Astyanax mexicanus: one gene and its partners. The protein of the gene in region 1 interacts with the protein of each later gene in a pairwise test. Links are inferred from orthologs where the notes say so. Each region holds a gene or a part of one and is shown on either strand. Other genes may lie near its edges.

Evidence for each region.
Region 2: the proteins of atpaf2 (region 1) and rel interact in binary tests that used the Homo sapiens proteins (3 or more experiments, as listed by UniProt). The two-hybrid records come from large-scale screens. The link is inferred for Astyanax mexicanus from reciprocal best matches to the Homo sapiens genes ATPAF2 and REL.
Region 3: the proteins of atpaf2 (region 1) and ebf1a interact in binary tests that used the Homo sapiens proteins (3 or more experiments, as listed by UniProt). The two-hybrid records come from large-scale screens. The link is inferred for Astyanax mexicanus from reciprocal best matches to the Homo sapiens genes ATPAF2 and EBF1.

The regions. Positions count from the first base shown.
Region 1 is NC_064422.1:24,662,498-24,670,715, forward strand, and holds the start of atpaf2 (ATP synthase mitochondrial F1 complex assembly factor 2), read left to right. Parts: upstream 1-4,846; 5' UTR 4,847-5,083; coding exon 5,084-5,219; intron 5,220-5,389; coding exon 5,390-5,434; intron 5,435-6,645; coding exon 6,646-6,794; intron 6,795-6,889; coding exon 6,890-6,987; intron 6,988-7,129; coding exon 7,130-7,210; intron 7,211-7,310; coding exon 7,311-7,423; intron 7,424-7,686; coding exon 7,687-7,802; intron 7,803-8,190; coding exon 8,191-8,218. UniProt on the Homo sapiens protein: Plays a role in the assembly of the F1 component of the mitochondrial ATP synthase (ATPase).
Region 2 is NC_064414.1:37,478,435-37,487,167, reverse strand, and holds the start of rel (proto-oncogene c-Rel), read right to left. Parts: upstream 3,827-8,733; 5' UTR 3,748-3,826; coding exon 3,741-3,747; intron 3,014-3,740; coding exon 2,993-3,013; intron 1,548-2,992; coding exon 1,408-1,547; intron 1,287-1,407; coding exon 1,138-1,286; intron 546-1,137; coding exon 454-545; intron 1-453. UniProt on the Homo sapiens protein: Proto-oncogene that may play a role in differentiation and lymphopoiesis.
Region 3 is NC_064417.1:50,638,182-50,647,006, reverse strand, and holds the start of ebf1a (transcription factor COE1-A), read right to left. Parts: upstream 3,827-8,825; 5' UTR 3,062-3,826; coding exon 2,928-3,061; intron 1,935-2,927; coding exon 1,778-1,934; intron 664-1,777; coding exon 600-663; intron 1-599. UniProt on the Homo sapiens protein: Key pioneer transcription factor of B-cell specification and commitment. Recognizes variations of the palindromic sequence 5'-ATTCCCNNGGGAATT-3'.

The sequences.
Region 1 (8,218 bases):
TAACCAGCATGAACAAGCCTGACCACAACTAAACGCAACACACACTAAATGCGATTTCTAAAATCTCACTTTTTTATTACCTAAAATGCAGTTTTTGTGTAGATGCCAGGACAAAATGTATACAAAATGTGTTTTTAATATATGGATTCATGCGGATGGGGTCTTAGTCTTAAACTGGAATTTTCAGCAGGCTAATTGTAGATTTTAAAAAAATATGTTGGTGTGTTTCATTTCTAGGAAGAACACATTAGATCAGCATAATAAAAAAACGATGGCAAAATCACTGTACTGGTGCACTATCACACTTTCTCCTCATTTATACACATGGATTACTGATATGCTTGTGTGATGTGGCTGTACTAAACTTTGACCTATGAATGTACCGTTAGCCATTTCTAACAGATCACCGCCTTACAAAAAAGTACAACTTGGCAGTTTCCTGTTAATGAAGTCAATATGGAGTCAGTTACCATGTTTATGATGTCTTTAACTGTGTTTGTTCACTGGCAAGTCATCAACAAATTATGGTCATATTGATTCTGTTGAGCAACCAGTTTATTTAATTGGCAGATTCTGAAATGTGTGGATTGAGCAACACAGCCATTAAAGGAAGAGAAGGATTTCAGAGAGCAGTAAATGCAGAAGTCAATACTGAGTATTTTATAGCAGTTAAAGGAAAAATATCTACTAAATCAGAAACTAAAATACAAACAGATTTCTGCTCTGTGATGGACAATTCAAAGAAAAGCATACTGGCTGAAAAACTGGTGTTAAAAGGGTGCCAGAACTTAAACTTAGCATGTTTCATTAGTGTCTGATTACACATGTTGATCGTTTTATGAGTTGGTAAAGGAAATAAATACACATATTGGTCACTTTAAAAAGTTGTGCTGGCTGAAACACTCCTTATAACTTTAGTGTGAATGGGTGGGCATAACTGTAGGCTAAACAAGCAGAATTATTACAAGTATGTGTGATTACAGACACAATTATTTAAAAATTAGTAATTTCTCTGTTTGTGTGAACATATATAAATGGAGATAAATTTATACTATAAAAAAAACTACATACATACTTCAATTATAAGATTTCAGTACAAGAAAGTGCCATAACACTGCTGTCTCTTCATTAAAAACTGCACAGTGTAATATATAATACATAATGAGAGTAGCACTGGAATAATCACAAAATTGGTTACAATGTTTTATTTTTATAGTGATTAAACAAAGATATAATACTCAATAAAATCTCTCATACATTTAAATTCAAATCTGTGTAGTTTTGTCTTGTGGACTGTGGACTTCTTTTCAATGTCATTAGACAGCTCAGCACACTTATGCTATCCATACATTACTTAACTCTCTGAAAAGACTTTTAACAGACTAAAGTCTGACACCCCCTCACATCTAAAGAGAAGTCACAGACTGTTTAGTCACAGACTCGTCACAGGCTAAGATTTTGCAGGGGGATTACTGGGGATCACTAATTGCAAGACTGCAACTAGATTCTTTCTAAGATTATTTCCCATCATGCTTCTGGTGGAGTTTACATACAATACATATTAGAAATTAAATTACAAATAATGTGTATATCAATCCTGTGATTTATTAGAGACTTTCAACGTTTGCCCCCATCAACAGTTAATTTTTATTAGTTCTGGATATTTTTTTACTATAATAAATTTTGTGTTTAACAACTGCCGATAAGTTTATTTTCCCCATTTTTTTCGACAAACTTGTATAGCAAAGGATCACAGTTTCACGGCTATACATTTGGCTTTGTTTAAGATAGAATTAATGCAATAAAGAACATCATTCTTGAAAAATGTGTATTTATTGAACTTGTTTGTATCACAAATAACACTGCACAAAAATAACTGTGCAAAATAAAATAACTTTAAACATAATGACTTTAAAGTGCTGCCTGTGTTTAAAATACACTATATATTAAAGTAAAAACCATATAAGGCATATTAATTGTAAAATGTGTTCTTATTCAAATTGTTTCTAAATAGTCACAAAGAATATTCTTCCTTTGCAGTTTCCCGTAGCTCTCCTATTGGTTGTTGACATTGTTAAAGTCACTATTTGCATGAGCCAAGTCTCCAGACTTACGATAATATTAAAAATATTAAACCACCAGACGCGAGCATGACTGACTAAAACTTTCAATCCTAACCACACTGAATGATTGAGATGACGCGACCGTGACTCGACTGCAGCACGACTCTCGTGATTTTATCTAAGCAACAGATGGCTGCAGGAATACAAAGGATGAAACTTATTCCCTTGAAGACAGTACTAGCACTGAGACAGTTGGGCCCCTCATATGGGCCCCACATATGGATGTCAGTGATGGGCCCCATCAGGGCACGAGATGCAACCATGAGGGGTTTAAGCATGGCCTTATCTGAGTTGTACACTGAAAAATTTAGGTAGTGCGGTAATTAAAATTAGTTTCCTTATAGCTATGTACACTATATGTTAATGCAATATAACTGTAACGAGCAAGTGACTGCTCAAACGGGCCTGTGTGTGTGTAAGAGGTCAACCGGCCCTGGTCTCTTGAGGACACTCAAGAGTCTTTTTAATTAACAGATCATCAGGCCAATAATAGGGAGGCACCAGCCTCCGAGGTCTCGCTTCAGAAGTTAACAATTTTTCCTTGTATGCTGGCCAATAGCTCGTTAGCAAGATAGATAAGAGCGAACGAGGCAGGTGAGGTCTTCTGAGGACGCTCAAGCTTGCTTTTAATAAACAGATCCTGACTTGACATAATGACGAAACCGAAGGGGTTAAGTAAGTGGAGCCTGAAGCCCACCTGTGTCCCAGCCCACTGAGAATGGTCAACCATTTTTTTTATGCATAAAACCTAATGTTTTTAACTCTTTAAATCAGAAGACTTCCGGTTCTGATCTGCTTTGTAAGATTGAAACTACCTGCTAAATAAAGCTGTCTTCTCCTTTCTTTTAAAATTGATTCTGTCTGATTTTTAGTTTTGGTTTTATTTTTCAACAAAGTTGTACTTTTAGAAGAACCTAGACAATTTCAACAAGATGTGGTAACCATCCCAAGAGACGTATTTAGACACGTCAGTAGGCTGTAAACTCAGCAGGGCTCCAGTAAATAAATATACAGTATATGTATCAGTTCTGCATTAAGAACAATGGACGATAATGTGAGTCACCTAGTATGGGAACACATTGTTGTTTGTAGATCAGTTATAACACAGATATATTAAACAGTTTAACAAACAAAATATTTTGCCGATTTGCACAAATTCCTTGGACCTAATATTTTGTGTGAGCATAGAAGATCACTTTGTTTTATACTAGTCTGCAGGACGTCTGGAGGGGAGTGTGAGCATATGTACGTATGTTTGGAAAGTTGTCTTTTAATGGAACAGGAAACAGCTGACAAGCTGAAAAATTATGTCATGAGACCAGATGATGAAACTTATAGGAAAATCTATCCATATTTATAAGAACTAGCGTTTCCTCTGAAGAGATTATTTTTATAGGTTTTCCACTGAAGTATCTACTGACTTGAATGACTGGTTTCCAAAAACCTAAAGAATGAAGTGTGGTAAATCTTGTGGCAGACATGCATCCTTATTTGTGGCTACTGTTGCAAAATGAGTGAATCATTTAAAGTGATAGCTTTCTTGAGGTTTATTCACTCTCACCTTTTTTTCTGGACATGGGAGTGCTTGCTTCAGTGAGTTTGGTTTGGTATGTTCAGAGAAGAATAAAAGCTGTTTTTGAACCCAGCCTTGGTCCAGAGCACTGATCTTGGACTGGGGTTCGCTTCAGGTTGACACTAGCATGTTCCACTCCAGGTATGGGAGTTATCTGCTCCTGGGGCTGCGTGATTGGTTCATTTTGTTATGTAACTGCTTCCACTTATCGCATTACTTCCTTCTCCATCAGTATGTGATAATTAAATCACTTTGTTATGACAGGAGCTAGGGAATTTTCTTTAGCTCCTGCTTGCTGAAATGCTGCACATCCCAAAGGCACTGTTTGATGCTGCTTGACTTTTTGTATTCAAGGCAATTTTTTTTTTTTTTCAAAAAAGCATGCACACAGTGAAGTGATGCATGGAATTGTGTGCTTCTGATGGAATTCTTGTGCATAGACCAGCGATAATGAGCTCTTCCCACAAAACAGGCACAGAATAGGTACTGGGTGTAGAGCCGATGAATCACTAATAAACTGAACGAGTCAGTAGCAGTGTAAAGCACCCACTCAGTCAGGTTTCTGTTTAGCTTTCTATTTGCGTGTGTATGAAACGAAAGCGAAGACAGCACTTTTCTAAAAAAAAATTCTAAGAAAAATTACTGACTTAGAGCCAAAACACACTGTTAGCATGATAGCATGCTAATAGACTGTAAGCCTAGGACTCAAACGCCAAGCCAATGTTTATACAGTTTTTTTTTTTGCAGACTCTGTTAAGATCTGTTTTATAGCTAAAATCTTTAATATCTTATGATTATTTTATTTATTTATTTATTTATTTATTTACCTTTTCCCCAATATATGTTCGAGTAGAGTTGTAAGGGTGGGCACGATTATGTTGTATTGTTGGGGGAAATTCCCTGTCTAATTCTTCTTCTTCTATAAAATATTAATAAATATATATTTTAAAATCTTAGAATTGTGGTTGACTACATCTGTTGCTTTATTTGAATTCAAAAACGTCTCAGAAAAGTCAGTAAAAAGTGCGGGTAGTATTTGAGCGGACGCGTACCATAAAAATGAGCGGTGTTTTGGCGTCCCCTGCTGGTATTTTTTTTTCTACAAGAGTTTCATCAGAGCAGAGACTACGCTTTGGGACTTTTATTTTGAAAATAAAGCTTTTCACGAAAGTCAACGTGAGAGGAAGGTCAGCGTGGGAGAAGTTGTATTTGCTGGCTGAATAGACTTTATACTGTGGGATCGTTTTGTTTTCATTTTAATCAGATTTTCTGCGCTATAGTGTCTAAATGGATGATTCATTCATGAGCGACTTAAGCTAAGCTAACTTGCTAACGTCTTCAGAACGTTTACACAGCAGCGACTCGTTTCCACACGTTGAGATTCGCGATGTTACCGGGTTTATGTCGGTTTCACGGGCTGGTCAGCCGGGCTCTTGTGCCTCTTGCTGGTCGGCAGGTGGAGTTAAAGTTATTGGGATGTTCAGCAAACGTGCAGAGAGCGAGATACGCCACTCCTGCGACAGGTGAGCGAATTTCTGCTTATAGACATCATATACATAAGATATCTATGGGCTCTGCTCTGCACTGTATTATTATTATTATACTGATCTCTGTTTTATTATAGTGTTCTCTTGTCACAGTGTTTTAGCTGCATTTTAAATGCCTAAAAGCGTCTAATAATGTATTTTCGCAGAGCGTAAGAAGTTTTATCGGGACGTCACGATCTCTCAAGGTGAAGGTAAGCATCACTCCACAGTATTGTACTGTATTACAGCTGAACAGCAGTCAGTCACGCAGGCCTTGCATTGATCTAATATCTGGGCTGGGTGTTGCTCAGCTTGCTTGATTTTGACATATGTAATATATATTTATATTTTTAATATATATATTTATTCCATAACCAACTGTGATGTGTGTGTGTGTGTGTGGTCAGTGTCCTGTTGGAACACACAGTTGTATCACAGCTTTATCAGTCTTACTGAGAGTTTAAGGGTATGTTTTAGGCAGCAATCTACCAGATTTCATCGTGCTACCACCACTATGCTTAACAGTAGTGTTACGCTTAGCAGTTTCATTTTCTAAACGTTTCAAGCTAAATTTTCGAAAATAGAAAATTGGCTGTAAAACTTAATTATGTCAGTTTTCTATTTGGTATAGTGAAAAGGAATTGGGGTTTCATTCAAGTTTTCTAGTTTTTCATTTTAGCATTTTGCAATCAGAATAAAAAAAATAATTAAAAAAGGGAAACTTCTCTCGATTTTCTTATTTTTCCACTTTTGTGTCTCAAATATGAAGCTTACATTTGTTACAAGATGCCAAAGTTGATTTAAAAAGTGTTTTTTTTTCTTTTCTGAAATTCCAATCGTGAGGGGCAGAGGTGAAAAATAATAAAACTATACTACACTAAATATTAAGTAATGATTTTTTTTACATTCATTTTTTTCATATAACCTCAACTGGTAAGAAAATTGAACTGATAAACATTACACTGACCTTTGAGGTTGCTCTACTCCTTCAGATTTTTTGTCTCATCTGACCCTAAAACTTCTCTCCAGGAGGCTTTTTCTGATCAACTGCAAACTTTAGATGATTTCTGATTTTGAGCATATCTTTAACAAAAGCTTTTTAATCCATTGTGATATAAAAATGTCTGTATGATAATAAAACTGGTGTTTTAGGAGCTTCCATGACAGGCCTGTGATGTTTTACAGCATGTAATATGTACAGTTGTTTGAACTGAGGATCTTGGAATCAATTGATCACATCAAGTTGATTAAATATGGAATTCAGTATTAATGTGCTGACACAACATAAATTTAGTTTGTCCCTGCCAAACACCACTAGTTAATTTGATTATATTTAGTAACTCATCGTGTAATTAAACAAAATTCATTAAAATGATATGAATATGATGTAAATGATGAATGTTTTCTTCCTTGTGATCTGCAGGAGGCCTTTATGAAATCAATCTAGACAGGAGAAAGCTGAAGACTCCAGGAGGGAAACTCTTCACTGTGCCAAATGAAGCCCTTGCTATCGCTGTTGCGACAGAGTGGGATGCTCAGAAGGACACGCTCAAGTTCTACACCATGCATCTAGTGAGTTACTTTAATTAAAGCTTAAAATGTCCGACTCTGGTGCTCTTTTGTTTGTGAAGTAGTTTATTTCAGTTGATGTTTAATGTTTTCTGTAGACCACTCTGTGCAACACAGCCCTCGATAACCCGACCCAGCGGGACAAAGACCAGATCATCTCTGCTGCACTGAAGTTTCTAGAGACAGATACAGTTTGGTATGCTAAACTTTTATTTGGAGGGTTATAAAATGTGCAAGGGCTGGTATTAATTGTTAAGCATTAACTTTGAAGATGGAAATGGATCTCTAGGAAACAATATTTTGAACGATTTTATCTGACCTTCCTGCATTCCTTTTAGTTACAGAGTAGAAGAACCTCCAGGACTTGTAGAACTTCAGAAAAATGAATGGGACCCTGTTCTGGAGTGGATTGAAAAGAGGTAAAATGTGAAAAAAACTGATAGTTATTTTTAATGATATAATAATCTTTGCATTACATTTTGCATTGTAACTGTGGCTGATCATTATTTATGTCTGTAGGTACAATGTTGTCATCGGTTCATCCTACAGCATAATGGGCCCCCAGATCCCAGAGGAGACAAAGGATACTTTTCGTCAGCATCTTAAATCTTATAACGTCTGGTCTCTGATTGGTACGGATGAGCATTGTTTTTTTTTTTTCCTCAGAATAGTGACGGGTATTATTTTTTTCTGCAAAAAGATATCTATTTGATATTTGTAATCTAGATTTAAATATATACATGCATTGTTTAACTGTAAGCAGAGTATCACACTTTTTTGCTTACGTACATTTTCAGAAATGAACAGGAGTGGAGTTATTTATATATTAATCTCTGTTCTGTAAATCTCACATTTGTCATTCCAAAAATTACTAAATGATTGAATATTTCTGCAGGGCTTGAGTATGTGATAAGTCAGCTGAAGTCTGTGGTTCTATCATTGGGGTTGATTGACAGACACCTAACAGTAGAGCAGGCAGTTCTACTGTCTCGCCTGGAGGAAGAATACCAGGTATGAAAAAATAAGCACCAATAAGCTATACATTTATAAATATAAATAATGTTTAATAAAGATATGACCTGACATGTTTGTTGGTGTAACTGTCTCTGCACTGAATAGAGCACATCTTTCCACTCTGCTGGGGGGCTTTATATTCATCTAGTTCAAGTCTGTCATTATGTCTGCTCCAAAGAGTGTCTTTCTAATGCCAATGCTTCTATCTATGCTTTGCATTCTGTGTCAGCAATGGGTGAAAATTTAAATAACGTAATTCATTAATATGAAGGGGTGTCCACAAACTTTCAGATGTATGTATGCATGTTTTTATATATACTGTTTATTTTCATCTAATGTCCTTTTAACAGGGTCATTGACTTGTGTGGTATTTTTTCTCATCTAGATCCAGCATTGGGGAAATGTTGAATGGG
Region 2 (8,733 bases), on another chromosome or scaffold:
TACACTAACAATAAAGCTTTATTCTATATATTTTTACACAGAACCATGTAAAAGAAATATCCATGGTTTCTACTTCCTCTGGATGTTTTCAACCAGCACAGATACAGTTTTTTTAGGAGTGGGCCTCTATTCCTGCTCTGAATAAATTCCCCCTGGTCACATGCAGTGCAACACCGCAGCCAGTTGTGCAACAGTTTTGCTTAAAAAAAAAGAGAAGTGACATTTTTGTTTCTTACACTAATGATACCACCGTAGTCTGAACACAATGACTATAGGAATAACATAAAGGAAGTCAGTCACTGGTCTGTATGGTGTAGTGATTTACAGTGAGCTTCTTGTGTCAACATGCATTTGACCTATTTACTTCTCCTAATATGAACACACTTTGTGAGACTGATTTCTGACGACTAGTAAGAGCGATATAAAAAAACTAATATGAAAATCTGATCTCACCATTGTAGGGGTTGATGCCTCTGTTTACTCTCTGCATTATGGCATCCTTAACTTCTCTTCTTCTCACACACTGGATGCCCAAGTTCTGGAAGCTGTGAAATAAATACACATTTATGGTTCCATTCATTCAAAATCCAACACGAACCACATCAAAAGCAATTATATAGATTTTCTGGGTTGTGAATCATGAGAGATGGCCAGGCAGATAATTTTGGGGGATGGACAAAACACTGCAGCTCTAAGGTACGCATTTTGCATATTAGGGGAATCCCCCTGCTGTTTCCCTTCTCTGAGATCATTTTTTTTTTATATTAAAAAAAGATGGACAGAGGTCTGTAGCAGCATGTACATAGTGTTTGTGTGTGGGTGTGGATATGTGGGTGTATGGTATTCTGACATTAAGCTCCACAAAGAGAAGAGGCAGACAGGAATGACTTTGATGTAGAGCTCAGTAATGCTTTAACTTCATTAGGAAAAAATGGCAACAAGACAAAAGGAGATTTAAAAAGAAAAAAACTGTGAATCTTTTTAGTTAACAGATTTTTTTTAAACATTGTCTACTGACTCCTTCATTTATAGTACAATTTCATCTGAGTGTAAAGTAAATATAATGTATAAAACATTACGATTCAGCATGTTTTAATTCAGCCTTCATGAGTTAGCTAACAGCTAGTGCTGACTTACGCAATCACCCTGCGTTCAGGTCCAAACTCTGCCTCGTAGTAGCCATCCTTACAGTCTTTTCCCACCAGGTCGTGTGGGTGTGGCCTGTAGGGCTCGTTTTTGGTTACCAAAGACACACGCACTTTTCCTTTTCTACAGTTATTCAAAATCTGACAAGAAATAAAGAAAGTATTTAGTAGTTAGTTAGAAAAATGGTCAATATACAGAGAAATCGTGAAGTAATGTATTGGAGAAATCTTTATTTAAAACAAAAATAATAATAATCTGTACCTGAATGCTTGGGTATGTCCTGTTATTATCAGAGCTTTTCTCTCCAGGTATACTGCCTGCTGAGCGGCCCTCACATTTATACCTGAAGCGCATGCCTCTTTGTTTGGGCTGCTCAAAGATCTGAACACAGGGCTCTCCCACTAATGAAAGACAGGGTAAGAAAGAGAACGGGAGTCAGGCAGTGAGTATTGACTGAATTAATATACAACAGTTTTAATCAGCTAATTTTAGAAGGCACAGAAACTAACTGATCCATCCATATGAATAGCCACATATCACCCCATATTCCTTTTTGCGAGTAATCTGTTTTTCTTTTTCATTATGTTCTTTTCTATTGTGTAAGTTACATTATTATAATTATTATTAAAGGTGCAATATGTAGAATTTTGCTACATGTTTGTTTGCTTTATTTTAAGCTGATGTGATGCAGACCCTATGGCTGGTAAACATTGTTTTTGTTAACATGTCTTTTTCAGAAAAACTACTTATTGTACCTTTAAGTGCCTTGACTAATAAAGAAATCTACATCGAACTAAAACATTTTATTTTTTATGTAAAAAAAAAATGAATAAGGGCAAAGATTATGATATATAGTTAATTATGGACAGGTTTTAAGCAAGCATCAAGTCAGATAAGCAGACAGCAGGCAGACAGTATAATATTGATTAGAAGAAATGTTGAGGTTGTTCGGAGACCCGCTGTATTGTAAACATCTAAACATCTGCAGACCACAGCACATTCCTCAGAATCTGCTCAAACCACTGCCAACACACAACTCACATCAAATAATTTCCCCTTCGGCTACACCTGCTAGTGTATTTCTCACAAGTGCTCCCATCTCAGTGGACCACAGTGGACCACAAAGGATGATTATGATTGTCGAAGCTCTGTTAAACACCTGTTCAGACTACACAGCTGTGTGTGGCACGAGATGACACTCAGGGCTCTCACGGCTCCTGTTGTAAGGTTCCTCTCGTCATACAGATGTGCAGATGTCTAAATAAGACAGTCTGCCTTGTGACTGCCTGTACTCACATTTCAGCACATTTCAGGCCTGTACAATTCTAAGACTGTACTTACGAGGATGAGAATGATTTGATCTGAATAAATTACACACAGACAGCCTCCTTATAGCTGTGTGTAATATCTGTGCAATATCTTCTACCTAGGAGCTAACCTCAAGCACTCACTCACTCACTTCTGCTCTTCCTGCTCTGTGTATAGCTGCGTATAGCTACGTATATACACACAGACCTTATATAGTCCTTATAACTGTGTTGTACAGCGATATATTCTACCTGAGCTGACCTCACGTACTCACTTCTGCTCTACCTGCTCTGCATGTTGCTATCTAACACACACACACACACACACATATAGACAGGAAGTGGCTGTCACTCTACTACTCTACTACCTTAACCAAGCAACCCAAACCGTGGTAGAACAAAAAAAAGAAATAAAGAAATTAAGGAAGCAGACAAAGAAAAGAAAGTTATAAAGGCAGTTATAGTTATAAGATAGTTATAAGCATGCTGGCTGTACAGAAAAGCTTTACACTTTTTTAAAAAGAATGATATGAACTTACTGTTCATTGGGGGAAAATGAGCTGTGCAAAAAAAAGAGGACAAAATATTTCAGGACATTATATAATAACAATAAGCTGAAAAATCAAGTGCAAAATCAAGGCATTTGCTGACAATACTGCAAATGGGAACTTGAAGTCAAAACCAGTAGTCTGAGGTTCCTCATTTTGATTTCCTGGTGCAGATTTAGACTAGCCTATTCGTCATGGATTTTAGTCAAATCTTTATGGCAGCTTACTTTCTACCATCAAATATTATTACTATTATTATTTATTCATGTATTTATTTATTTTTTATTTTTAATATAATTTGTCAGGAAGTTATATTTATAAACATAATATACACAACATATGCACTGATTGGTTTTCATACTGTTTCTAGTCGACACTCCCTCTGAAACATTGTGAAACAAGCAGCAATCAGTAATTTAACACATGAGAACTGGTTATTCAAGTTACAACAAGTAACAAGCTATCTAGCAACAAAACAATTACTAGAATCAAACACGTAAACACATAGAAATCTTAATCTAGCCCCATCCATTAACCTTCTGACTGAAAACTGTTTAACACCTTCATGTAATTCCATATCACATCCATTAACCAAACAAAAACAGCAGGCTATACTAGTCACAGCTCTCAGTCTGGATGATTGTGTACTCCTATTATATATAAATATATATCACAGATATTATAATTATTCTAGGAAAGCTGTTAAAAGGCGTGAATTAATTAATAGCTTGTAACTCACCATCCATTCTAGTGGAGCCCCTTGCTGCAGCGATCAGTGTGTGTACGTGAGTGTGTGTGAATGTTCAGAAGTGAATGAGTGAAGTGTTACTCCAGAGGTGAAGGGCGCTTGGGAATTCCCCCCGCCGCCTGGCTCCGCCCCCCCCGCACGTCCATAGCCAATCACACACACAGGAGACTATACGTAGCACTTCATTAAAAAAATGGATTTTATTTTGATTAAAATGTATTTGTTTTATCGCTATCACACAAAACGCATAACGTTTCTCCAAAAAAGGCAACGTAAAAGCTTAAAACTTTTAAAGGCTTGAAAAAATCAGTAGAAATCAATAAAAAATATTTTATTTTTCTATTGGTCCATTGATAAAGATCTAAATAATTAAAAAATGATGAGAACTAAACAAAATTGTCTATAAAGCTATTTATCTGATAGGTAAGCTGGGTTTAAATAAACCACGAGAAGGCCTAACAATTTTAATTCCTAATAATTTTAATATGATAATTTTAATTTCAAAAATAATTTAATTGTAAAAAATAATTTAAACAACTTCAATTCCCCCTACAACTGTGCATTTTTTAGAAGAACTGTATGCACTCGTTCACTTTACCAGTCTTAGGTTTTTAATTTTTTTTTCTCTACATTTGCACTACTGTTATAATGGTTATGTTTATACATACAGTCAAATGAAAAAGGTTGGGCACCCCTATTAATCTTAATCAGAATCAAACTTTTCATATGACTGTATCATCAATCCCTAGTTAACCCCCCCTCCCCATCACTATTGCACTATTGTCTTGTGTCTTTTGTCTCACATACGTATTTGTGCCCTTGTTGTATTGTACATCTAATGCCCCTCATTCTGTTATATTTATATTCTTATTTTCTGTACTTTCTTTACTTGTTGTAACTTTGGGAAGGAGAGTGATGTAATTTCAATTCTTTGTATGTCCTGTACAAATGCAGTTTTGACAATAAAACTACTTCATTTGACTAGACTTGAATATTTACAGTTATCCTCCACGTCCTAATTTATCCAATTTGTCCTTCACTGAAGGACCAACCAAACCAACCAAATAGTTCTTCAGCAAAGCTAATTCTTTTAAATAATTTGATACTCAGCCTATAAATAACTTTACTGACCAACAACATATCTGATTACTAACTATTGTGTATTTATATATTTTTATAATTATTCTAATGTCATACAAATGTTTTACTATGGCGCCCCTTACAGTGACATCATGTAAAAAAAATAACAAAAACTTGTGGCCACAACATATTAAGACATTCTCAGCAGTGCAGTGACACTGACCTTATGGTGGAGTATTAGTGTGTGTCACAGTTGTACAAGTGAATCAGACACAGCAGTGCCGCTGGAGATCTTATTTAGTATTCAAAGGATGCTGTCCATTGTCACTGCAATGCCGAGAATGACCCACCACCCAAATAATACCTATTCTGTGTCAGATTTTTTTATTATAGTAATTTTGGGTAGAACAACTTTTTTTATTAATAAAACACACAACTGTGCATTCTTTTGTTTTCTAACAGTGTTATATTCTCCCTATTGTTAGTTCTTGGTTACATTCACACAACCTATTGTTTGCTCCTGCTCCTTTCATTTGGGAATGATCAGTATGGTTAAATCATGTTTACAGACTGTCAGAAAGCTTGCCAAAGGGTGAAGGCTTACAGTTGATTTATGTATACGACAATATATACCATTTACTCACTACTAATGTTTGTGTTTTGCAGATTCAATTGTTGGCCTATGTGTGAGGAACCGATCAAATCTGAACTGCAGTTATCCACGCATTATCCTTACATACTTACAAAAGGGCCTTGACTGTCTGTGCCATGCCATACTAACCAACACTGTTTAATGAGTTTGGACCTTTGCTGGTCACTTTTCCTCAGAACATATGAGCAACTACACTTTTCATACCATATTTTCCCAAGAACATTTGAGTGATCTTCAAGAGTGCTGCTCTGTTTCTTAAAGATTTGCTAGTAGGATGTGTGCCCCTTCTTTGCTGCAGGAATATCCTGTATATGGATGTGGGGTGGTTTAACACTTGGGACAAGTTAACACACTGCTGGGAATATTTTGTGATTACATTCAGTGTCAAGAACAATTGAAATGCCACTTGAACTCAGATACTGGTTTAAGCAGGGCCTGTGAAAGCGCATATGCAGTATGGGTCATAAGAAATTTGAGAACATGCACAGTAATATAATACAGGATCCAATAATGAACACATGAATCAAGGATTTGACAACAATGTCTATTATCGGTTGCTGGAAATGACTTACTGTTTCAGGTAATTTAACAATTTCATGTAAAACATTTAAAATCAAAATGGAGCTTGAGCCACAATTAGGGTGAAACCACAGATTTTGTATAAATACTTATATATAAGTACAGGTCTATGGGTAAAACTTTCAAATGTAGGTTTTGTACAAGACTTCAGGGGAGAGAGAGAGATGGACTGGCTAGATGACATACAGCACATGATGTAAGTTCTAACAAGTTGCCTAAATATGTCTGAAAAAATGATTCTTTTTTTAATGTGCTTTATGTATTCATCAAGTGTGTTTTGTAAGGATACTTATAAGTAACGTTAATTATTTATTTAATAAAAATGTCAAAGTACATATTTATCTGACAACACTACAATAATGGCAACGAGGATTAGATGCAGGGCTGTTAAAAATGAGTTAATAATCAGATTTATACATTTATTTTTCATAGACTGTAACCGAGAGGGCAAATGAACATTGGATTAATCTTCATATTTTCTTCCAAACAATGTGGACCTCCAACAATTGATTTGATATTTGTGCACATTAATTTCATATTGAGCCAACATTTTGGTTTAATATGTATTGTTTACATTAAACTTACTTAAACACTTTAAATTTACATTAAATATTTATAACAATTATTTGTTATTACCTTTAAATGAATGGTGATTTAATGTAGAACTTTCAACATTAACCAATGGCAATTTGGCATTTTTTCTTCAACAACATTAAAAGATGTAATTAAACCAAAAATGAACATTTTATTTTTTTGTATGCACTTTGCCTTTTAGGATGCAGAGTTTGCATTACTTTCTTTCTTTTAATATATCTTCCTAAAATAATAGATTTTTTCCCCATGTAAACACACACACACACACAAAAAAAAAGGTTTGTTATTATTTTGAAAAAGAGCAATTAGAGGAGATTTTTCATAGAGTTGAGCACCAGAACCAAGCAGAAATAATCCTAAACATATATAAAATAAATAAATATATATTTATTGAAACGACAGAAAAAAAAGTTGTAATTTAATTATAACAGCCACGAACTGAACAGCATTTCTATCTAGCTTTATGGCCTTAGCTATGTTGCTGACTAAAATGCAGACTCAATAATAAAACACAACAGCAACGCAATATTCATAAATTTATAGCCTTTATTAAAGATGGCTCCATCTTGGAACGCTTTTACAATAGTCTTGAGGTGATAATAAAGTAGCTTAAGTAGGCCGTTATGCGAGTGGGGTAAAATCAAATGATTTGATCAACTGAGGGTCTAGGCGATTTACTAGAACTTTCTAGTTTAATATTAAGCTGTTACCTCCCTACCTCTAGTGTAATCAGCAGCTGCACCTTAATTATATGCTGTACCTCAGAATGTACATCTACAATAAAAGTGCACCATTTTAAAATGGTGCTCTTTTATTGTTGCACGTTTGCATTTTTGTCGTCTATACAGTACTGTTTGTTCCATGCTGCATCTTGGTTCATTTCACTTTGAACTTAGATGAAATGATAATAAAAGCCTCTTGAATCAAAAAAGCAAGAATATATCTGAAGAGCATTTTTCACCCGACAGTGCACGAGCCATGTGTGCAATCACCTCCTGTGCTACATTTCACATTGCGGTACCCGAATCCATCCAGGCTATTCGCTAATTGAGCGGTCTAGAGGGGGCTGTAGTAGTAGGTGTGGACCGGCTGTGGGGGACTGGATCACTGCTCTTACCCGCCGTCATAAGAAAGGGGAATCCCCTCGCCACGTCACTTGCGCACACTGGCGAATGGGAATCTCCCAGAAAGCAAACACGAACAAGGAAGTAATAAAGATCCAGCGGACTGGTCAGGTAAAGAAAATGAAAATTGGCGACTTTAAACACTTACACACCTAGAGAACTACAGCTACATAGTCAAAATCAAGGCAGAACCTTTTTCTCAGCCAATAAACAAATACAACAATCAAGTGGAGCGATGGTTTGTCCTCAAACAAGTAGCTTTAACTGAAAACTATTTTTCCCCCTTTTCTCCCGAACACGAAAAAGAAAAAAAAACATATTCAGTATTTAATTTATTACTTTTAACCTAAGAAATAAACTAAACACTAACTACTATTCTCATTTCAAAGTAATACATGGATTTACCCATCCTTTTCTCCTCCTTCCTTCACTTCCAGTAACCACAACCTCAAACTTCTTGCACCATGTGAAAGGGTTTTAATGGTTAAATCACGCTGCCAGATTAAGTACAGCTTGTCTTTTCCTCTCAGAGGCAGAGTGCCTGAGGTTTCCTTCGGCCCACTGTCCAGCGCAGGAGCAGAAAAGTATTATTCCACCAAACTTCCTATGGGGAAATATACTCTCCAATGCAACACAATGGAATTTACAGAGTTCTATAAACAGATGAGCAGTAAAGACAAACACACTGTTGATGGGGTTTTGTGAAATTTTATGGTCTCAGTTTAAAGGAGGCAGAATACATTACATACAAAAATACGTTTTGAAATACAACTTTTTGCCCTAAGAAAAAAACGAAAGAAAAAAAAAAAAAAGGAAAAGATTGGTGTGTTTACACTACTATATAATGTGTACAGATATACAGTAGTTAATCTAAAGCAAGAATATAAACAAGAATTTTCAAAACTGAGCAGTGAAAATGACATTCTGAAAAACTCCCAACTGCAATGCCTGCGAT
Region 3 (8,825 bases), on another chromosome or scaffold:
ATTACAATCGTATTAAATCGAGAATGTAATAATAATAATAATAATAATAATAATAATAATAATAATAATAATAATAATAATAATAATAATAATAAACCGGTAGAAGAAGTATATATAATAGTATATCATGTCCACAACAGCGGAACTTTATAGGAGAGAGAAAAAAAACCTTCTGAACTTTCAATGGAGGTCAATGTAAAAAGAGTTTATTTCATGTAATGTTTAAGTATTTCTATTGGTCCGTTCATCAGTAAATTTTGTTATAGTGTAAGGGAACATTTGTCTGTTTAAATTTGGTAGTGAGCTAAAAAAAAAAAAGATACCTGAGATAATAGTTTTTCATTGGACAGCAAAGATATAGTACATAATAGTAGTAGGATGATGAGAAGAATAAGAATAATAACACGATTTCACTAAACACTAAACTATATAAACTATAACAAACGGATTTAAGCAAAATTAATTTCATCGCGTTAATGTTAATGTTTTAGCGAATTTTAGTCACGTCATTTTAGTTTCTATTTTTTTTAACTTGTTTATTCTCTGATTTCTTAAAAAAAATACTTTGAACTACGTAAGAAATGACTGCACGTGCTTACCGTTGCTGTAGAGGAGCTGTAGTTTGTAATGAATCCCATTGTTTGTCTTTTCTCCGGTGGGTTCCTACAAAAACAAACAAATGTCCACATTATGTCCCACTGCTGCAGAGCGCGAGACCAGCGGAAGACCCCTCTCAGCAGCGTCCCAGCAAGACCCCCAGTATCCCACTCCAGTAAGACCCCCAGTATCCCCAATCCAGTCCTGACCACTCTGAAACTTTGGGTTTAACAAAGACATTCATCATCAACAGTCAGAACCAGAACCAGTTTATTATAATAAACCTAATAATAAGACAGATCTGCTGATTCTAACAGCTAAATTTACTGAACTGACAGCATACAGCACAGTAAATATAGTATAATAATTTATAGCGTCTTATAAATAAATTAATAAGAGTGAAGAAATGAGAGATTGAGAAAATCTAAGAAATGAGATACTGAGAGATTGAAAAAAAGAGAAAACGTAAAAACAGAAATAGCAAAATAATAGTATGGATATTTCGTGTGTGTGTGTGTGTGTGTGTTTGTGTGTGTGTGCGCGTTTCACACGCGGTCCGCTCCGCACTGGAGCTGCACTGACATCTATCTAGCCTTCAGAAAAGTGGAAAAGTGAGAAAGCGAAAAAGTGGGAGCGGGCTCTAGCAGCTATACAAAAAAGTGTCCAGAACTGGCCTACTAATAAATGATTAATAATAAGCCAAAAAAATAAAGTTTCAAATAAGCAAGCAGATTAGTATATAATCTATAGACTGCGCCGCTTTAAAACACAACACACTGCGCCTGTGTCTATTTATTTTAAGCGGTTATTTTTAGCGGCAATTTTGTATAAAACATTCTATTAATTTCTGTTAAAAGAACAAATCAAATGTGACACAATCAAATAAAACCCACTCAATACTGGTTAAAACAAGTACTATATACAAAACTGTTTGAGGTTTTAAATGGGTATTCGCTTCTAAGATGGTCTATGATGAGAAGTATGGGCCCTATTTTTTTAATAAATTGTATTTGATGAACAACAAAAAATAAAGCGGTAATTAAAAAAAGGTCAAAATCTTATTATAAACTACAAATCCGTTTCAATTTTTTTTTGTCTTTTTGAGTGTTGCATGTGATCAGACAGATCCACAGGCCTACTGAGTTCTGGTTCAGCTCGGTTCTGATAAAACACAACTTGCCTTTTCTTTCTCCACAAATCCCACGAACGACGTCCTCTCGATCTCCACGGGCTGCCCCTGCCTGTCGTACAGAGCCAGCACGAAGTGGAAGAAGTTGGATTTGCGCAGGTTGGACGGCGGCTGCTTCTCAAAGTGAGCCCGGGCCAGACCCACTCCACTGCGGCCACGCGAACACAAAACACACGCATATAAATTAACACTGTCGGACAATCGAGCATCACGTCAGTTTACATGAGAAAATGTACGATTTATCAATAAATCAGAATCAGGATGTTTGTGTGTTGACAGGGAATTGTTTTCTTGTATTTGAATTTGATAGCTTCTGTCTGATCTAATTTTGTGTAAGCATTAATTAATCAAAGTCAAATCGCTCTGTTAGAGCGTCTTAGTATAGAATATAGAATACGCTACATTAGATTTAACATGCTGTTCATTTAACACAGTTTAAATTATTATAACTATTTATTTAAAATAAACCAAAAACAAACAAAAAGTACAAAATATAATATTCGTCCACGCCATAGCAAATGCAGATATCAAAAAACAATTACTTTATTTATTGCTTATACTAGTTTAGTTTTTGCGTTCATTAATAAAATGAAATAAAAGAAAATAAAAGAAATGAAGAAGAGAAATTACACTATTCTGTTAGCTGTTAGATTTTAAGGCACAAGTTCAAGAGTAGAAGAAGAGGTGAAGGGTTTTTTGTTTTTTATCATCACACACTTACAATTTCAACGTAATTTTACAATGTTTTTGTTTAGACTTTGTAATGTTTTTTTGCCAATTTTGTTTTGTTTCTATTTTGTCATTCAGTCAATCAGTAAGCATATGCTCTTATAAGCTGGTGACATAAGGTACTTTCCTAAAGTGTTTTAGCTTTTATAGCAAATTTAATCACATTTCACGTGTTTTTAGCAAGTGGCAAAAACTGCATTAAAATCTAAAATCAAATTTAATAATAAATCGTGGGTCTATACACTGCAAACTGAGCTTGGACAGTAGCGTGGAATTAAATCGGCTGGATCTGAGCGAGCTGTCCGGGCTGGGTGTGAGGATGGAGCGGCTGCTGTGTGTTGGAGAGTGCGGTGGTGATGCGCGGGGTGATGCTCGGGAGTGATGTGCGGGGAGTGATGCCGGCTCTCCTCACCTCTGCGCGGCGGTGGCCGCGTCCAGCACTCCGGCGCCCTGCATCCACGTCCTGACCGCGTTCATGCCGCCGCCCATCGGCTCCTCCTTCATGCTACTCCCGCTCCTCTGAATGCTCTCCTGGATCCCGAACATGAGCACGCGGACTTTTGTCTATTCTCCCAAGTCACTTATTTTTCTTCTTCTTCTTTTCCTTTTTATTGTTTTTCTTTATCCAGATTTATTCCCCAAGTCCCCGTCTCTCTTTTTCTCTTTCTGTCCTATCTGGCAAAAATCTGATCGCTCCACAAAAAAATTATCTCTCCGTAAAAATCGAGGCTGAAGTCTGGACAGGTCAGATGGAGTCTCGGAGTGTTCCTTGGTTTTCTCTAGTCCACTCAAAAATGTACAAAAAATTACTCAAATGTAATGAAAAGGAAAATAAAAACAAAACAAAAAAAGAAACAAGTAGCGCGTGGAAGCAATCTCGCGCTGTCAAGCACAAGGTTTGGGAGACGCGTGAGAGATAAGATACCCGGTGAGATCTTCAGATCTTCACTGATGGCTCGTGAGCGAAAAAAGAAGAGATAAAAAAAAATCTAATGTCACTTTAAGAAAAACTGGATGATCATCAGCGGCGGCTCTGGCGGCGCGCTATAGATCAGATGTCATTATCCACAACCTTCCTCTTTTCCTCTTTATTTGCCTTTCCCCTCTTTTCTGTTTTGTTTATGCTCTGATCAAATCAAAATCAATGAGCGATATTGAAATCAGGCAAAGGGAGAGGTGGAGACCCTCGTGGCGGCGGACGGATCCCGCGCGCGCTGTTCCCCGTGTTCAAACGGGACCGATTTGCGCTCTTTCCCAGAGGAATCCGATGTGACTAGCTGTGGGAACGAAACACAAGCAAACTAAAGCCCCAAAGGGAAGAGGGATGGACCGTGTGTGCGCAGGAGACGCCCCCCACCACCCACCCCCAACTAAAAAAAAAAAAAACATAGGCAAGCCCCCGTACTTCCATTAGCAGGGCACTCAACCGCGGAGCCCGCCACCACCGCGTGGGCTTTTCATTTCCCACCCTTTTTCCCAATAACCCCGCCCCTCCTGTCTTGGGATTGGCTAATATCCACCAGTCTTCTGCACTATACTGCACAATGATTCGCTACCAGCCAGGTCGCACTCGCACCTAAACCCCGCCTACTACAGTTAAAGCATCATCATCAGCAGCAGATAATAGTTTAGCGCTGGGTTTATCAGAAAACCTGAAAACAGGTGGATTAAAAAAAACACACACACAACCCTAATGATCTACCAGCCAATCACAGTGCTCTTTGAAAAAAAATAAGGCGGGGCTTTGTGCGAACAAGGGCGTGGAAAGAAGAAGGCATAACAAGTAATTGCATGTCACAGTCCGCCGTTTTCTCCACTTAGCGGAGCGCGTGTTTGGAGGAGAGCAAAGCCGCGCACGCGGAGCTATACCGGGGCGACCGAGGCGCGACTCTGACAGCTCTCACTGAAGCACGTTACTGAATTATGGTAGGATACTGCACTCAAATGCAGTGCTAGTTAATTCAGTTAATGGTATATAGATTATTATTTAATGCAGAATGATAAAAATGTGTAAAAAATAAATACATAAAATAAAATGCTTGTAGGATCACGTCAAAATCAAAAGCGTTCAGAGTTTCTTCCAATAAATCAGTTTAATTTACTTTAAAAAATACGTCAAATAGGTGGAAACAATATCTAAAACATATTGATGTTGCTGAACACACGTACAACCAATAGGAAGAGTTCAGCAGGTGTATTCTGTAATTACTTCACAATATACAGAACATAGCAAATGACAAAGAAAGTGACGAAACCGTTCGTATAAAATTTGATACAAATATGATATAGAATATTTATAAAGTATAATATTTATTTCATTTGATTTAGACGTATACATTTATTTAATAGGAAACTACTGGTGAATTAACATTTTTGATAATGATTATCAGGCATAAGTGTAATAAACAACAGAAGAAGAAATATTATTTTTAGCTTATCCAGTGTATAGGCCTACATTATTTATTTATTTCTCTCTCTCTCTCTCTCTCTCTCTCTCTCTCTCTCTCTCTCTCTCTCTCTCTCTCTGTGCGTGCGTGCAGATATTGTATTGACAAGAACATGGCAATTCGAAATTCGATCACAATACACGAAAGAAAAAAAATATCAGGAAAAGTCCCTCATAGCAAAAAATACACTATATTTATAAAATGTACACTGTAATCCCAGAAGCTTTTTGAACTCAAATTTAAGTCTCTTTTACATAAAATTGGATATTTCTAAACAATACTCAACTATTTTGAGTTAGTTGAACTTAATTTGTGGGCACATATACTGTACTATTCAAACTGAGATCTTTGAGTTGAACCAACTTATAATAACTGAGTTTAGTCTGTTGCCATTGGCAGCTTCTTTTCCATTGGCTTCTGTCACAATCTATTTGCATACTGGGTGTGTCCAACAGTTTCTGGCACTCACCATCAGTGTGTAATGATTCCCTCTGGGCTACCTTAGGTAAACTTGTAGATCACTTATTATGATTAAATACTTGGTCTTTGTGTTGTAGGCTGTAAGAACAAGCATCATTTACTGAGCTGCAGTAACTCTTGTGTTCTCGCTGTGCTGTCAGTACTTTTAATTCTTTACTGTTTTCTTTCATCTACTTTTCTATGAGTATTTTAAAAAATAGTTGAACGAAACCAGAGAAGACTGAATACAATATAATTTAAAATATATATGTATATGTATTTGTTAAGTTCACTGTACTTAAAAATTATATTACATGAACTTAAAATGTATTAGGTAATCGGTTACAACAAATGTTTTGAGTTTAGTCAACTTGTCGGGTTTTACAGTGTAGTTGTTTTTTCTAATTAGATAAACAGTAGGATCCAGAAACAGTACAAGTACAACACTGCTATCTAGTGGGCAGGGTTTAAACGCAACACAAAATGAACCATGATGTCTGACACCAACATTAAAAGAGAATTCAGGTGTAAATGGACTTTTGTTGTAGTAAAATATGATAAAAAGTACTTACATTTGATGAATAGCACACCTCCGTTCTCCCACAGCATTCTAAGATCCAGAAATTTTAAGTTTGTCCAAACACCCTTCAGACTGGGAGATACGGTGCATAATTTACCCTGATAAATCACTATTTAAACTGTTATCCAGCTCAAAGTAGCTCCACACCTCCTTGCTAGAATCCAGAGAGCTCTGATATTTAAAACACATTACATCCCATAACACAAGCTTACAACAAAAGTCCATTTTACACCTGAGTTCTCCTTTAAAGTAATGTGATATTAAAACCACAAAATTTCAATTAAAGTGTGATTAAAATGAATTTCTAATAATTGGTCATGTAAACAGACATTAGAGTTCTTTGATCACCAAAGAATTGGTTAAACACTTTATTGGTTAAGTTGCTTTGGTTTCTGATAGTGAAATATCTAGGAGGGAATACATTTCACCAGCTGTCATCTGTTTAGCTCCGCCCTTTTTTTGTTCACTAATAATTCAGTTAGCCTGAATGAATGGCTGGAGGTTGATGTTATACAAATGTGTGAACAATGGAAGTGGGTGATACACATGAATATACGTCAGTAGGTGAATAGGTGCATCCTAATGCATATATACACCCATATATAGCTTATATGTCTGTGTATATGTAAAGGTATATATGTCAGTTTTCGAATTTAGCGTTTATATATATAAAAAAAATCAAACACTGTTAGATCGTAACTAGAGAGAGAGGCTGTTTCAAAATTTAAAATGTGACATTTTGCTATTTGCACAACGCTATTTATAATATGCACGTATGATATATATATGTGCGCGCGCGCGCGTTAAGAATTTCCCGTTGACGCGAAAACAATAACTTAACGGATCCGGATTTCTCGCTGAATTAATTAATATATTAATACTTTATAATTTTAATGCAAGCGATTCTCAATGGTGTTGATGGTGCTTCGCTTTAAATTAAATTAAAGCGAATATTATGCTGACGACATTAAATTCAATTTGACAAAAAACAGATGGAAATACAAAAACGCGCCGTTTTAAACATTGTCAACCTCAGTTTACACCTTATAATTTAATAAACAACTTCTCTCACGCGAAGTGAGTAATAACCAAAAACGTGTATATTATACATAATTAACAGTATATTTCGTGCAGAATGCAAGGCTATGTAACAGTGTATTAAAATAATAAAACTAATTTTATGGCTTGTTGGTTTGTTTGTTGAAGAAGCTACACAACCCTGCTCACTGGTACAATTTTAATTTATTTTATACTCAATTACTCCAATCTCTTCTTCTGTTTCTTAATCCTGATCATTTTAAAACATTTTCTTTTTTGGTTAATATAGTATATAAATATATAAATATATAAATATGAAAAGATGCCAAAGAAACACGTCGGTTTATTTATTTTTTGCTGTAAAATACAGTACAGCACCTCTGATTGCTGATCCATCAAGTTCAGCTGGCCGCTAGAAGAGCTGAAGAGTGGAGCGTTGGTGATGCCACAGCGCCACCGTGTGATTTATTGTGTAATTACAGGAGTATTTTAGACAGGATGGTTCAAACCAGTCATTGGTTCAAACTAGTGGCCTCCAACCCTGCTGGAACCCTGGGAATCAATCTAACTTCTTCTGGACTATGGATCCAGTCTCATTCCTCCATACTTGATCCAGCTATCTACTGATTCCTGAGAATTTTGATAAAACATGCCCCACAAAATTTCCAGATTTTTTCTCTGTGATCAGTAAGGTACCTTTCTGTCTAATTTTGATGGAAATTAATAAAATGTTAATGAATAAAAAATAATCAAGTTTATAATCAGAGGACCCTTATCAAACCTGTATGTTTTTTTTTTATTATTATTTATATTAATGTAATAATGCTGGGCTATTGTATATAAAATCTGTTTTCCTCAGATAGGAGATAATCACCTACATTTTATTTAAAAAAAAGTAATAAATGAATTGAATAATATCTTAATATCTAAAACTGCAAATTCTCTTGGAAATATGTATATATATACATACAGTATTGTGCAAATGTTTTAGGCACCTGTTGGAATTTCAGTAAAGAAAAAGCTTCTTATCTGTACAGTAAGTGTTTGTTTATTATCTCAGTAAAACACATTACAGCATTACAATTAATGCAAACAGCAATTTTACAAAAAGCAGTTACAGCTTTTACAGCCCTTTTTTCCTTAAAACGTCTCCTAATCTCTCCTGTTAATCTGAGTTTAATAGAGTTAGTTCTAGTTCTCATCATATTAATCAACACCTGGTTTGGTAATTTACTGGTAAATGTGGTAAATCAGGTGAGCTGCTGACGGAACTGAACATAATATACACATGCTGGCTGAGGAGCATCCAGGAGAAATCTGGAATCTCTACACATACTTAAAAATGAGAATTCCTTGTTACGTTTTACTGTATGTTTAATGTATGTTTATTTGCATCTGTTTAAATCATATGTGATGCTTTTTTTCAGGTAAAAACACTCATATTGGTGAGATAAATGGATAAGTGTAATTTGCTTTGGTGCTTAAAACTTTTGCACGGTACTGTACATCTGTCCCATGACTTTTGGCACGTTAGTGTAATTTCTGGCTTTAAGAAAAGGGAAAGTCCTCCATCAGAAAAGACCTCAGGCTGAGAGACAACATAATTTATATGCCAGTTCCGTGAGAAAGAAGCAGGCGTGCGGAATGTGTGAGTGTGTGTGTAAGTGTGTAAGAGTGTGTGTGTGTAAGAGTGTGTGCAGTCTGAGAGAATGCTTTGTTGGTCTTTTTTCTGTCTTTTACATATTTTTACATGTTTTTACAGAGGTCAGAGTTCAGGGCTACCTTT